2 linked regions of the Schizosaccharomyces pombe genome follow. Changing the gene in region 2 together with the main gene of any one other region gives a genetic interaction. Each region holds a gene or a part of one and is shown on either strand. Other genes may lie near its edges.

The links. A genetic interaction does not mean that the proteins touch.
Region 1: mutations in get1 (region 2) and ung1 together harm fitness more than expected from each alone (negative genetic interaction), as found in Schizosaccharomyces pombe (2 studies listed by BioGRID).

Annotation. Positions count from the first base shown.
Region 1 is NC_003421.2:601,248-604,933, reverse strand, and holds ung1 (uracil DNA N-glycosylase Ung1), read right to left. Parts: upstream 1,961-3,686; 5' UTR 1,898-1,960; coding exon 1,671-1,897; intron 1,614-1,670; coding exon 1,281-1,613; intron 1,214-1,280; coding exon 805-1,213; 3' UTR 530-804; downstream 1-529. Other genes in the region: protein Spo13, read left to right, coding at 62-77, 129-529; DNA repair ligase Lig4, read left to right, coding at 2,131-2,362, 2,407-2,417, 2,505-2,567, 2,608-2,707, 2,773-2,869, 2,909-2,994, 3,049-3,686. UniProt on the Schizosaccharomyces pombe protein: Excises uracil residues from the DNA which can arise as a result of misincorporation of dUMP residues by DNA polymerase or due to deamination of cytosine.
Region 2 is NC_003423.3:4,314,062-4,322,701, reverse strand, and holds get1 (GET complex subunit Get1), read right to left. Parts: upstream 3,794-8,640; 5' UTR 3,756-3,793; coding exon 3,669-3,755; intron 3,621-3,668; coding exon 3,254-3,620; exon of another isoform or gene 3,161-3,253; coding exon 3,099-3,160; 3' UTR 2,583-3,098; downstream 1-2,582. Other genes in the region: protein Spo2, read left to right, coding at 80-481; SPOM_SPBC16C6.01C (lysine methyltransferase), read left to right, coding at 1,161-2,582; m-AAA protease Yta12, read right to left, coding at 4,093-6,414; fit1 (CoA pyrophosphatase (FIT) family lipid storage protein), read right to left, coding at 7,462-8,214.

The DNA of each region.
Region 1 (3,686 bases), on a different chromosome or scaffold from region 2:
GTACTTTTGAAAAAAAAGTTAGCAATTAGTATTTTATAGGAAAGGAAAAAAAATTGAAACAATGATGAGCAATTCTCGTAAGGGACAACATGACAATACAATATAAAACAATTTTTTCTAACATGTAGAAATTTCAAAGCTTTTTAGCTCTATCTCTAACAAGGAAAATTCGAATGAAAATGCTTTAAAAGAAAGCACGAATAAACAATTAAACAATGCCAATACTTTAGCAATAACCCATTTGAAGGAACAACTTTCGAGAGAGGTTCAACGAAGAGAAGAGTTGGAAGGATTGCTTGAGCAAAGTCAGAAAGAAATGGAAGATTTATCGGTTTCACTGTTCACTGAAGCAAACGAAATGGTGGCCAAGGCAAGGCAGGATACAGAAGTATTAAAAAGAGAATTGGACTATCTCAGGGCAAAAGAAAAAGGACGTATTGGGAAACTAAGAAGCATCCAAACTGCTGTCCGAACTTCAATCGAAGCCAGAAAATTACTGAGTTATTCTAACGAATCAAATTACCACTGATTACATTAAGTCTTTAATAAATGTGCCGTTTACGATGGATTTGACATAAATATTAAACTTTAAAATGAATGATTTAAATGTTAAGACAAAAAAAAAATAAATCCTCTGCGAAAAGAAAGACATAGAAAAATAACACACATTAAGCAAGTCCAATTGTAGGTAGAATAAAGATAAGCATGCAAGTGGTATAATAAAGCAAGCATGACAAAAGAAAATAAAAAGCTTGATTAGACCTATTAGCATCCAGTAAACGAGCAATTATTTTCTGACTTTTTCTACTCAGTTGAAGAGGATTCCAACTCGCTAGACTTTATTTTTGCTTTTTGTTCAGAAACAGCGCTCCAATTGATGCATTTTTCAGGTCCATACTGCTCTTCGAGCCACTCATTGGTTTTCTTGAAATGGTGGCATTCAAAAAAGCCACGATGTGCAGAGAGAGGGCTAGGATGGACACTTCTAAGTACATAGTGTGCTTTCAAAGGAAGACCTTGAAGTCGCTTAGCTGCTGGAGTTCCCCATGCTAAAATTACAAGACCCTTGCGATTCCGATTCAACGCAACTTGCAGGACAGCAGAAGTGAAAGTTTCCCAACCCTTGCCAGAATGAGAAGCAGCTTGATGGGCTCTTACAGTTAAACTAGCGTTGAGCATTAAAATGCCTTGGTCAGCCCAAGGAACTAAATACCTGCTTCATTAGCAAAAAGCCAAATCTTAGAAAGAAAAAATATAAAGACTAAATAATTTTAACGTACCCTGTTTTCGGAATAACAAAATCAGGATAATCGATCTTGATGGCTTTATATATGTTGACCAAACTTGGTGGACATGGAATTCCTGGACGTACGGAAAAGCAAAGACCATGGGCTTGACCAATGTTATGGTAAGGATCTTGTCCTAAGAGAATGACCTTGGTTTTATGAAGTGGAGTATGATGTGACCATGAGTAGATATCTTCTTTCGGCGGGAATACACGTTGGCTTTGCCATTCCTTCATCAAAAACTCTTTCAGATTCAAAAAATATGGCTTTAAAAATTCATCTTTTAACGCATCAAACCAAGAACTCTCCAAAGTATCAATTTCTAGTCTAAATAGGTTAACAACCTTTTCCAATTTTCTAGCCTACATTGTAAGCAATACTTACTGTAACAGCTTTCTTTGAGCAGGAGTAAGATTTTCTGCCCATTTTTCTTTATTGAACTTTGAGACAGAGTTGTTCTCTTTATTATCAAGTACCTGAGTATCCTTTAAAGCAGGCGATGAGGTGTTTGTCTTAAAAAAATTATCCAAACGTGGCTGCTTTAATTTCCCGTCAAGTTTATTAACGGTATCATCAGCTTTACGCTTATCTGTAGTATTCAGAACAGTCATTTTACCTAACTTATTAGAAAACAGCTCTCTGCTCCATAAACATACTGTCCACCGAATCGTTGCAGAGAACAGGCTTTCATGTATGATAATTAGAAGTGTTCGTACTACACACTTGACACTACCACGATAATGAGACTAAATTGATGTTTATTTCTTATCGGTTATTTATTTGAGAAATATTATTGATCATAAACTGTATTATAAAACGATTGCTTCAAGCCAAAACCTAAGATATGGACGAAGCCAAAGAGACGGTATTTACGAAACCTCAAAATCATTCAAGCACCCTTGAATTCTATGATTTTGTTACAACATTATTGGAACCGTTATCAAGAATTGGAAAGACTAGGAAATCCAAAACATCAAACCTTGACCCTTATGAATTAAAGCGCAAAATCCTCTTGGATTACTTTAATAAATGGCGACAACATGTAGGACCAGATCTTTATCCATTACTTCGACTAAGTAATTTAATATTTGTATTTTATTCCTTATACTAACTAATGGAGTGCTTCCTGATGTACGACTTAAAATTGTTAGACCACTAAATCGCATTACATAAAGTGTCTTAATCGGTGTCTTGAATTTCTAATTGCTAATTTTCTAGTTGGATCGTGAAAGAGGATCATATGGGTTCAAGGAATTTGGGCTTGGAAAACTGTTTATTCGAGTAAGTAATTAAGTTGCAACATCAGTGACTAATTAACAAGGCTATGCATTTGAGTCCTACTTCTGAAGATGCAAAATCTTTGAAAAATTGGAGAGGATCCGAGTCCAAACATACTGGAGATTTTTCTACCATGTTGCAGGGTGTGTTCATCATAGTTTTTGTATTCCAATTGATCCTGATCATATTTTAACTGAAAAAAATTTAGATATTTTACAAAGAAGGGCATACAGGACCTTTCCTGGTGCCTTTACAGTTGGTGATGTCAACGCCCTGCTGGATCAATTAGCAGATGCTTCTTCTGAGTATGTTCTAAATTTTTTACCGTATCTAACCTTAATAAGGGATACCCGAGTTAATATTTTGGAGCAATTTTATAGATCCTTGAGTCCTCTTGAGCTTCGATGGCTAATTCCCATTTTACTGAAAGGTTGGTTGGAAATGATATTTCTTTATTTATGACCTAACTTTTTTATTTCTTTAGTTCGAAAATACGGAACATCGGAAAAATTCATACTTTCTGTGTTCCATCCTGATGCAGCTCGATTATATCGACTGTGTAGCTCCTTAAAGAGAATTTGTTGGGAGCTCTATGATCCTAGTCGGTCTCTTGATGAAACTGAAACAGATGTGGAAGTCTTTAGTTGCTTCCAGCCTCAGCTAGCCAATTTCAAAAAAAAGGATCTCCATCAAACGCTGGAAGCCATGGGAAATAAACCGTTTTGGATTGAAGAAAAGCTAGACGGGGAGCGTATTCAATTACACATGAGTTCAGGAAAATTCCAATTCTATAGTCGAAATGCCAGGTCGTACACTTATGCCTATGGCTCTAGTTATTTCGATGAACAATCTAGGCTGACACAATACATCATTGGAGCATTTGACAAACGTATTTCACAAATTATTCTTGATGGAGAAATGGTTACATGGGATCCAGTGTTGGAAACAGTGATCCCATACGGAAGTTTAAGAAGCATTTTTGAAGATTCTTCCTCTCATTCATCCTACAGCCCTTATTACGTTGTGTTCGATATTTTGTATCTTAATGGGAAGTCTTTGGTAAAGTACTCATTAGAATCAAGAAGACGAATATTAGAGAAAGTAATTGTTCGCGAATCTCAT
Region 2 (8,640 bases):
GTGTGAATCCCTCTTTGACTGTGAGTATCTTTCCACACCAAACTTAGAATTGTTTGTGAAAGAGAAAAAAAAACCGATTATGAGCATAACGATGTCCGATTCTTCTGCTTACGGCGAGGAATTAATGCGTGAGCGATTTGAGCACTTGCTTAAAGCTTACGAAAAAATGGCTTTGATGGTAGCAGAACAAGAGGAGTTTAATGCTAAAATTGAGGACATGGCTTTGAAATTATTAAGTGAGAAATATGACAATGAGGCTTATCAAGCTGAACTGTTTTATCGCTTGTCTAATTGTGTGGAAAAAGTCCTGCACAATAAAATAAGTATCACTGATCTAAAGACTGAGTATGAGGAGATTCTTGAGCAAACGCTGAAGAAAGAATGCAAGGCTTATGAAAGATCTTGTATTGAGAATGTGAAATTAAAGAAAAGAACAGAACAAGCAACCGCATATTATGCTAGTTCCTCAAGCGAACCGTAAAAAATGGGACATATGAGTCGATGTAAATTTCTTCGAATTTATTAGTTATTAAGCATACTCAGTCTATGTGTATCTTTTCCTTCTAAAATTTGACATGACAATTTACGACGGATAGTGAATGGAAGTAATGTGCAAACTATGTCATATATTATTTTTAGTTTTTTACATCTCTCCATTACTGATGGAAGTATCTACTGTTTAATTATGAATGTTTTATAAATGAAATAATTTATTTGTATGAAAAAGCATTATTGCGAAAAGTCTGTACAACTCTTGGTAAAATTATCACCATGAAGAAGCTTTTTATATTTAAAGCGTTTGTTTATTACCCCTTTTCAATCGTATTCAATCATATTCTTATAGTAGTTTTTATATTTACGATCCATCCTGCATTGCCCTTCTGTATCGGACAGGTTGAAAACGCGTAGCGGATTAAAAATCAAGTTTGAACAGACTAATGTGCTTTATTAAACATAATTTGAGAAATTAATTATCTTCTGTTCTAAGATACGTTCAAGTTTTACTCAAAAAATCAATGTGTACATCAGAAGGTTGGAGTATTTACCTACGCTTAAAATCAAATTTGCTTTGAAAAGATATTAACTTTCAAATGTTCAAAATTGCCGGAAAGCGCATAAAAAATATTATTAACTACTTATTAAAACATGTTAAATAAAGCATGAACAATTCCAAGCAATTTTTGAAGTACCAACCCTTACTTGAATGGCTAGCAAAACACGAAGCTTACATTTCACCCAAACTGTATATCGCTTCAAGTGGGGTCGCAGGAGATGGTATATTTTCTACCTTTGATATAGATGAACTTGAAGTTTTAGCAAAGATTCCTAGAAGGATCATTCTGAGTCCTCGCAACTCAAGATTTGGAGATTCGTTGTATACACATTTTAATGAATCTAATCGGTCTGATGATATTAACTTTGACAATAGAGATCAGGTTGGGCTGGTCATGCTCGTTATAACTGTAATATTGGAAAATATAACAGATAGTCCGTGGAACGCTTATTTAAACACCTTGGACGAAACTTGTATGCCTGATTCCCCATTATTATGGAAAGATAAAACGTGTCTTGAGGGAACCTCAATGCTTGATGTAATAAATACAAATTTAAGAGTATACAAAAATCAATATGATCAATTGGTCCGCCCTTACTTTTATAAACATGCTGATCTCAAACAGCTTTGTCCAAAATGGAATCAGTATTTAGAGACTTGTGTTCTCGTCCAAAGCAGGTGTTTTTACGTTAACAGCTACTACGGTTTATCTTTAATACCCTTTTTCGATATTTTTAATCACAAGTCTGGTCCAGCTATTGCTTCGCTACATTGTCAGGAGTCAAATGATCATAAAGGCGATATCAAAATAGAATTTATTTCTTTTCAGTATATACGAAAGATGTCCGAAATATTCAACTCCTTCGGAAACTTTGCCGCTGATGAATTGTTCACGCAGTATGGATTTATTGATACCGCTTGCAAAGTTTGGCGCGTCGACATGACAATGATTGCTTATGAAACTAACAGAAATTTTTATATGGAGTGGATTCATAAAAAAAGAATAATCAACACCCAGGAGTTGCTGGTCACCCCAACTACATACGCAAATGACAAGTCTGAGACTTTACGTTCAGTAATGATAAGACAACCTATGGATCTTTATATAATAACAGATCATGGTCCCAGTTACGGGCTTTACTTATATTTATTTTTTTGCATTTACAAAATCAAATTCCAAAAGTGCGATATGAATATAGTAATGCTTACAAAGTATTTTAATGAAATCTGGGCTGTGTTTATAGCACATAAGGAGGGAGAAAAAGAAAAGGTTGTTGCTCAACTCTCTGGTTTTTCTTTTTATTGTAAGGCTATAGAATTTCTACAGATGCTGTGTCAAAAGCGCATTAGTCGTTTCAAAAATGGTGGGTTGACTGCTGAAGCTTATAAGACTCTATTGTGCGATCCGACTCTTAAACGAGAGAATAGGTCTCGTTTAGTCTTACAAATTTTTTATCATGAACTTAATTTACTCGAAAAATCAATGCAAGAAACAATTTATCTTTGTACTGAAAATTTTGAAGATTAAAAAAACAACATACAACGGTTGGAAATGTTGCATAAAAGGAAAAGGTAAGATCGAAGTTCAGCTTAAATTTTAATCATAATTTTGTGCCCTTCTTAATTAACATTGTAGTAACTTTATGATGTTTTCCAAAACCCTGCATCGTTCCCTTTCTAGATGTCCTGTGTAATAAATAACCTATTTGCCATTTCAAACTTTCGGTATAAACAGCATCAGAAATATGAAAGCGTCAAATTAAGCAAATGAATTAGTAGGCATAGAAATAAGAAATCCGATGACAATTTAGATGAAAACCAGTGTAGAGCACATAAAGTGTACAATTTGTGAAGGAATAACATAATATTAATCGTGCATGGTAAACTATGCTTTCCATGGCATTCTTTCTTATGAGAAAAGGAAGTAGAAAACGCATTTATAAAATGACTTTACTGAAAATACATATGGCATCTTTTTCCCTTTAGTTAATTAAACTAAATGATAAAATATTAAAATTAGTCACCGTCTTTGATGATTTGGAGATCAAAATATCCCGGAAATAGTTTTTTGAACCGCAAAATTCCAAACTGTTAAGCTAACCGATCCTACATGCCATGTTAGTATTTCAGCTGCCATTGTGATAAATGAAAATAAAAATAAAAAAAAGATTTTCAGAATTTTCATTAAAAACAACATACCGTAGATTGATCGTGGAAGAGATAGCACCCATAGAGCCCAAGAAGGAAGCAAGAATGCAGGGAGGAAAAAGACAGGTGTTTTGGACTCTTTGAATTGAATATAAAACCGGAATCCACGGGTTAAAATCCAAAGAAAAAGGCTTAAAACCCGCTTGAAAGTATCTTGGAAAATTTTAACATTGGCTGATTGTTTTTCCCACTCTTGACTGAGTTGTTCATACTTTCTATTCAGACGGGCCCATTTAGCAAACTGATCTTGACTGCTAGTAGCGTTTAGCTCTTTCTTAACAGTAAGCAGCTGCTCTAAAATTTCTTTGTTCTTCTTTAAATCTTTATTATTAGAAACACTAACGTAAATTCGATAAGCCTTTCACATTATTAGTTTTCTTTACAACAAGTATATATGTTAAATTACCCCATCAATAGTCCTTTTTTTTGCAAATTTATCGAAGAAATGAATAAATAAGCTTAATAAAATTGTTGAAATAATCAGATCCATCATAAAATATGGACTTGTAAGAAAGTACAGTGGTTAGTGTCAAACGTGTAACTGTTGAGTATCACGCTCCCTATGACATGCTGGTCTAAAGGTCGAAACTAAACACAAGTTTGTTTGTTACGATATTAGCTATTTTGTGTTAGAAAATAATAATCTATTAACCTTTTAAAGTTCAGAAGAATTGATGTTAAGTATATTTATCTAGCTTCTGTAATATTAAATAGAAAAAATAGATAAAATAGCTATATGATATTCAATTGACAAATACTTTGATCATGAGATCCATGAAAGTAACTATTTTCATTCATAACGCTTTATTTAAATTCAGTAAATTGACAAATTAGGCAGAAGGTTGTTGAGGAGATGGGGGGATTGGTGGATTTCGAGGATCGTGATCATTTTTATACTCAGACTGACGCATAAGTTCAGAAATATTTAAATGTTTGTATGCATATGGCCTTGGTCCAAGAATCGTCTCAACTTCGTTATAAGTGATGACTTCTTTCTGTAATAGACGTTGAGCAATATTTTCTAAGCCTTGCTTATGTTCTAGCAAAAGTTTCTTAGTTCTTTCGTATGCATGCTTTACAAGCTTTCGAATTTCTTCATCAATCATTTGAGCTGTAGCCTCAGAAAATGGTTTTTGAACAGTTTCCCGAGTGTCGATGGGATAAGCTATAGTACCAACAGTCGGAGACATACCATATTGGGTCACATACGCTTGAGCCATGCGCGTTACTTTTTGAAAATCATCGGAAGCTCCCGAAGTAATCTTTTCTGGTCCAAAAAATATTTCTTCAGAAACACGCCCAGCCAAAGCCATTCCCATTTGATCTAAAATCTGCCCTCGACTCATCAGATACTGATCTTTGGGTAAATAACTAGCATAGCCAAGGGCTTGAGCTCTAGGAATGATTGAGACCTTCAATAGTGGATCGACGTACTCCATAAACCAACCAGCTACCGCATGTCCAGCTTCATGATGAGCAACGGTGTTTTTTTCTTCAGGACTTAGTACCCTACTCTTCTTTTCCAAACCTGCCGTGACTCTTTCAATAGCTTGCTCAAAATGTACCATTTGGACTTCATTACTATTTGATCGTGCTGCAATTAACGCTCCTTCATTACATACATTCATTATATCAGCTCCTGTAAAACCAGAAGTTAGGACGGCAAGACGCTTGGCAATTAAGTCGATGTTATCGGCTGCCTTAATATGCTTAAGGTGGACCTTAAATATTTGTTCACGACCGCCAATATCAGGACGATCAATCGTAATTTGACGATCGAATCGACCAGGACGTAGAAGTGCCGGGTCCAATACGTCTGGTCGATTAGTACCAGCGAATACGACGATATGTTCGCTAGACGTAAAACCGTCCATTTCAACTAATAGCTGATTAAGAGTGCTTTCGCGTTCATCATTGGAACCAAATTGTCCTCCACGTCCTCTTGCTTTACCAATTGCATCAATTTCATCTATGAAAATAATACAAGGAGCGTTCTTGCGAGCAGTAGCAAAAAGATCTCTTACGCGGGAAGGTCCAACACCAACAAACATTTCAAGAAACTCAGAACCTGACACACTTAAAAAAGGGACGTTAGCTTCACCAGCGGTGGCTTTAGCAAGAAGAGTTTTACCGGTACCAGGAGGACCAGAAAGAATGGCACCACGAGGAATTTTAGCCCCCAACCTTTCATAAAACTTGGGATTTTTTAAAAATTTGACGAATTCCATAATCTCTTCTTTAGCCTCGTCAACGCCAGCGACATCAGCAAATTTTATTTTGATATCAGTTTCATGATTAAACATCTTCGCTCGGCTCTTACCAATTCCAAAAATGCCACCTTGACCACCTCCTGCGGCACCCGAAGCCCGTCGCGATAAATAAATGACACTTCCAATGATCAGTAAGGTGGGAGCAAAAGACAATAAAGTAGCAAGAACAGAGACTTCGTCATGATAAGCGACAGGGACAAATTCAGAAGGTGGAATACCCAGTTGACGTTGTGCATCCTCTAGTTTTCGATCGAAAGAGTCGATGGAACCAATTGAAAAATAGTACTGCCCTGAACCTGAAGCTACACCGCCTCTCAAAATAACTCTAACCATATTGCGGTTAACAACAACTAGCCGTTCAACTAAACCCTTGTCTAAAAACTGTTGTCGAAAATCTTGCCAAGTAATTTCTTGCATATTTGCATTAGGCGAGAGAACATTGTAAAGGATATAGGCAACTAAAATTCCACCTAAAATAGTGTTGCCATTTAAGGCTATTTCAAAAACTTTTTTCGGATCATTGCCATTCAATCCCTTCTTTTTTGAATCATCATTTTTCTGGCCATTTTTCCTACCATTAGCATCAGAATTGGATCCTGAAGACCCATTTTGCGATCTTTTTGAGGTTACGCTAAATTGTTTAGATGAAATGAGAGGGATTTTATGTTTTTCCGGTATTCCTTTATTTATTTTAAGGGACTGAAAAGATCTCTGAGAAAGTGAGAGAAGAGAAAATTGTGAAACAGCTGTGGAACGTGTAGAAAAAGTATAAGCCCTTGCCAAACGCAAAGAAGAAAAATTATCCTTCTTTACGAATTTAGAAACCAGGTAATCTCCTGTTTTCCTAGTAGGTGCCCTAAACGTCAAAAAGGGATTTCGCATAAGGAATATTATATGGAAATAAGTCGCAGGGTACAATAACTTGAATTGAGCGTGTAAGGGCAAGTATAATATATAAAACCCTCAATATCGAAAGAGATAAACGTAAATGATTGTTTTAAGAAAAATATCCTTCGTATATGACGAGTAAAGGTGGATTCTAGAATTAAAAAATTCAAGAAAGCAGTAATTAATCGTTCAATTCAGTAATTGAGACCAAAACGAATAGAGACGAAAAGTTATAAGGTTGTATTAAAATAAAAATTTATTATTACCTCCGGACATGGATTTGGGCAACCTCCAAAAAGCGTTATGAAATTGAAGAAATTCCAATGTTTCACGTCAGCAAAAATGGTAATTAAAAGGAATAAGAACACAGTTGTCACTTTTTTTTCAGCTCAATAAACCCGTTACTAATCCTGTCAACAAAAAATAGCCTAAAGGAAGGATAATATAGATGCCTTGGACTTGTGTGTTGTGGGTAGTGACAACCTTCCGAAGCATTAGTCATTTATTATGGGCACCGACCGTAATGAAATCAACCAACTTCTTAGCATTGTCTCTATTAATTACTATAGATTTACTAAACGTATTACAAGTATATTGTTGACAAATTAAAATACATTATAATTTGCTGAATGGATAATATTAGCGAGTTGATTTACATTACTAACTTAGATACCATAATAAAAAACATTTATGCATATTTGTATCAAAAAAAAAAAAGGAATAAATAATAGTCACTATAATATGCAAGCTTGATAAAGAAGAAACTTTACGGCTATCAAATATATATGGAAGAACGCATTTTCACTCAAAACAATTGACGAGTATTTTTCCCAAGTAAAATACTCTCTAAAATATACTTAGTTTTGGTAAATAATGAAAAGATTTTTTTTATCATGATGGCACTATCGTAATAATCGACAGAGAGATAAAAGGGTCATAAACAAATAAGTTTAGAGAAGGAAGGATATGCTATGTCACAAGTGTTGCACTATATAAAACAATCATTTAGAAGCATAGTTTAAGGACAAATGGTGGTAAAGGCTAGTAATCGGAGGATCCTAAAAGATCAGCGACCGCTGGCATTCTTGAAGAGAACACGTAAACAATAGACCATTCTAAAATACCAGAGAAAAACCCGGTACATTTTTCAAAAGTAGTATGGTAAAAGGATGCAGTAACAAATAACATCCACCACCAAAGTCCAAGAAGACCAAAAAGTACTTTAGTAGATGTAGCTTTTATTCCATTATTCAAAATAAATGAAAAGTTTTCAGACAACATAAACAAGCTCGAGTGAGTTAACAAGAAAACATGGCCCGAGAGATCATGACCACCAGACCAAGATCCGTTTAATCCCTTGCAAGTGGAGGCGGTAAGTGGAATGAACACAGATGAATCACCATCAAAGTTTTTGCAACTTCCGCCAGATAATGCAAAGGTTCTATCAATCAGGCCAGGTCCTATAAACCATTGGGTTACAAACATCCACCATAGAGTGGCCACTATATACCTTGAAATAAACTTGAAGTCAATTTTGTTTCTCTTTTGATCCCAAGCATGATAAAAATATACTAAAGAAGTCCAGAACCAGCCTCTTTTTACAAAAATCAAATTAATCAAATTTTTCGAGTTTCCAAAGTAAGAGGTAATCGACCATTTGTCAACATAAATGCTATAAATGCTACCTAGAAGAAGTGTAGTGGCATATATTTCAAACAGAAGTATATCTTTGCGACGAAGCTTCAATATAGAGGTTTCTTCATTCCAATAATGACTAGCAGTTTTTTCAGTCATTTTTTTTAAATAATTTTTATTAGGCAGACAACGTATACAAATTAAACTTAAAAATAAAGATAGAACGGTGTAGTGAAAAGCAATTAATTCATTGAAAGAGTTAAGGACATGTATACCCTGGGAAGTTTGGTGTAGTTACACCACCAACTTACGTGCGTAGACTAGAAAAAAAACGAATCATTGCCTCACGTTATAAGAGAACGAAAAGAAATAGTCCTTAATTGTGGATAATTAAATATACGAATTCTTTCGTTTTTTAAGTTGCCATATAACGCCTATTTTGCCTATTTTTGTTAAAAAGCTAGCAAGGCGTAAATCTATCATTTCTCGCTACGATTTGAGTATGCATAATCAAGCCAAAATTATTTCTGTTAAAAATGTTAAACCCATAAAATTACTATAAAGGAGGTATTTGTATAAAGAAAA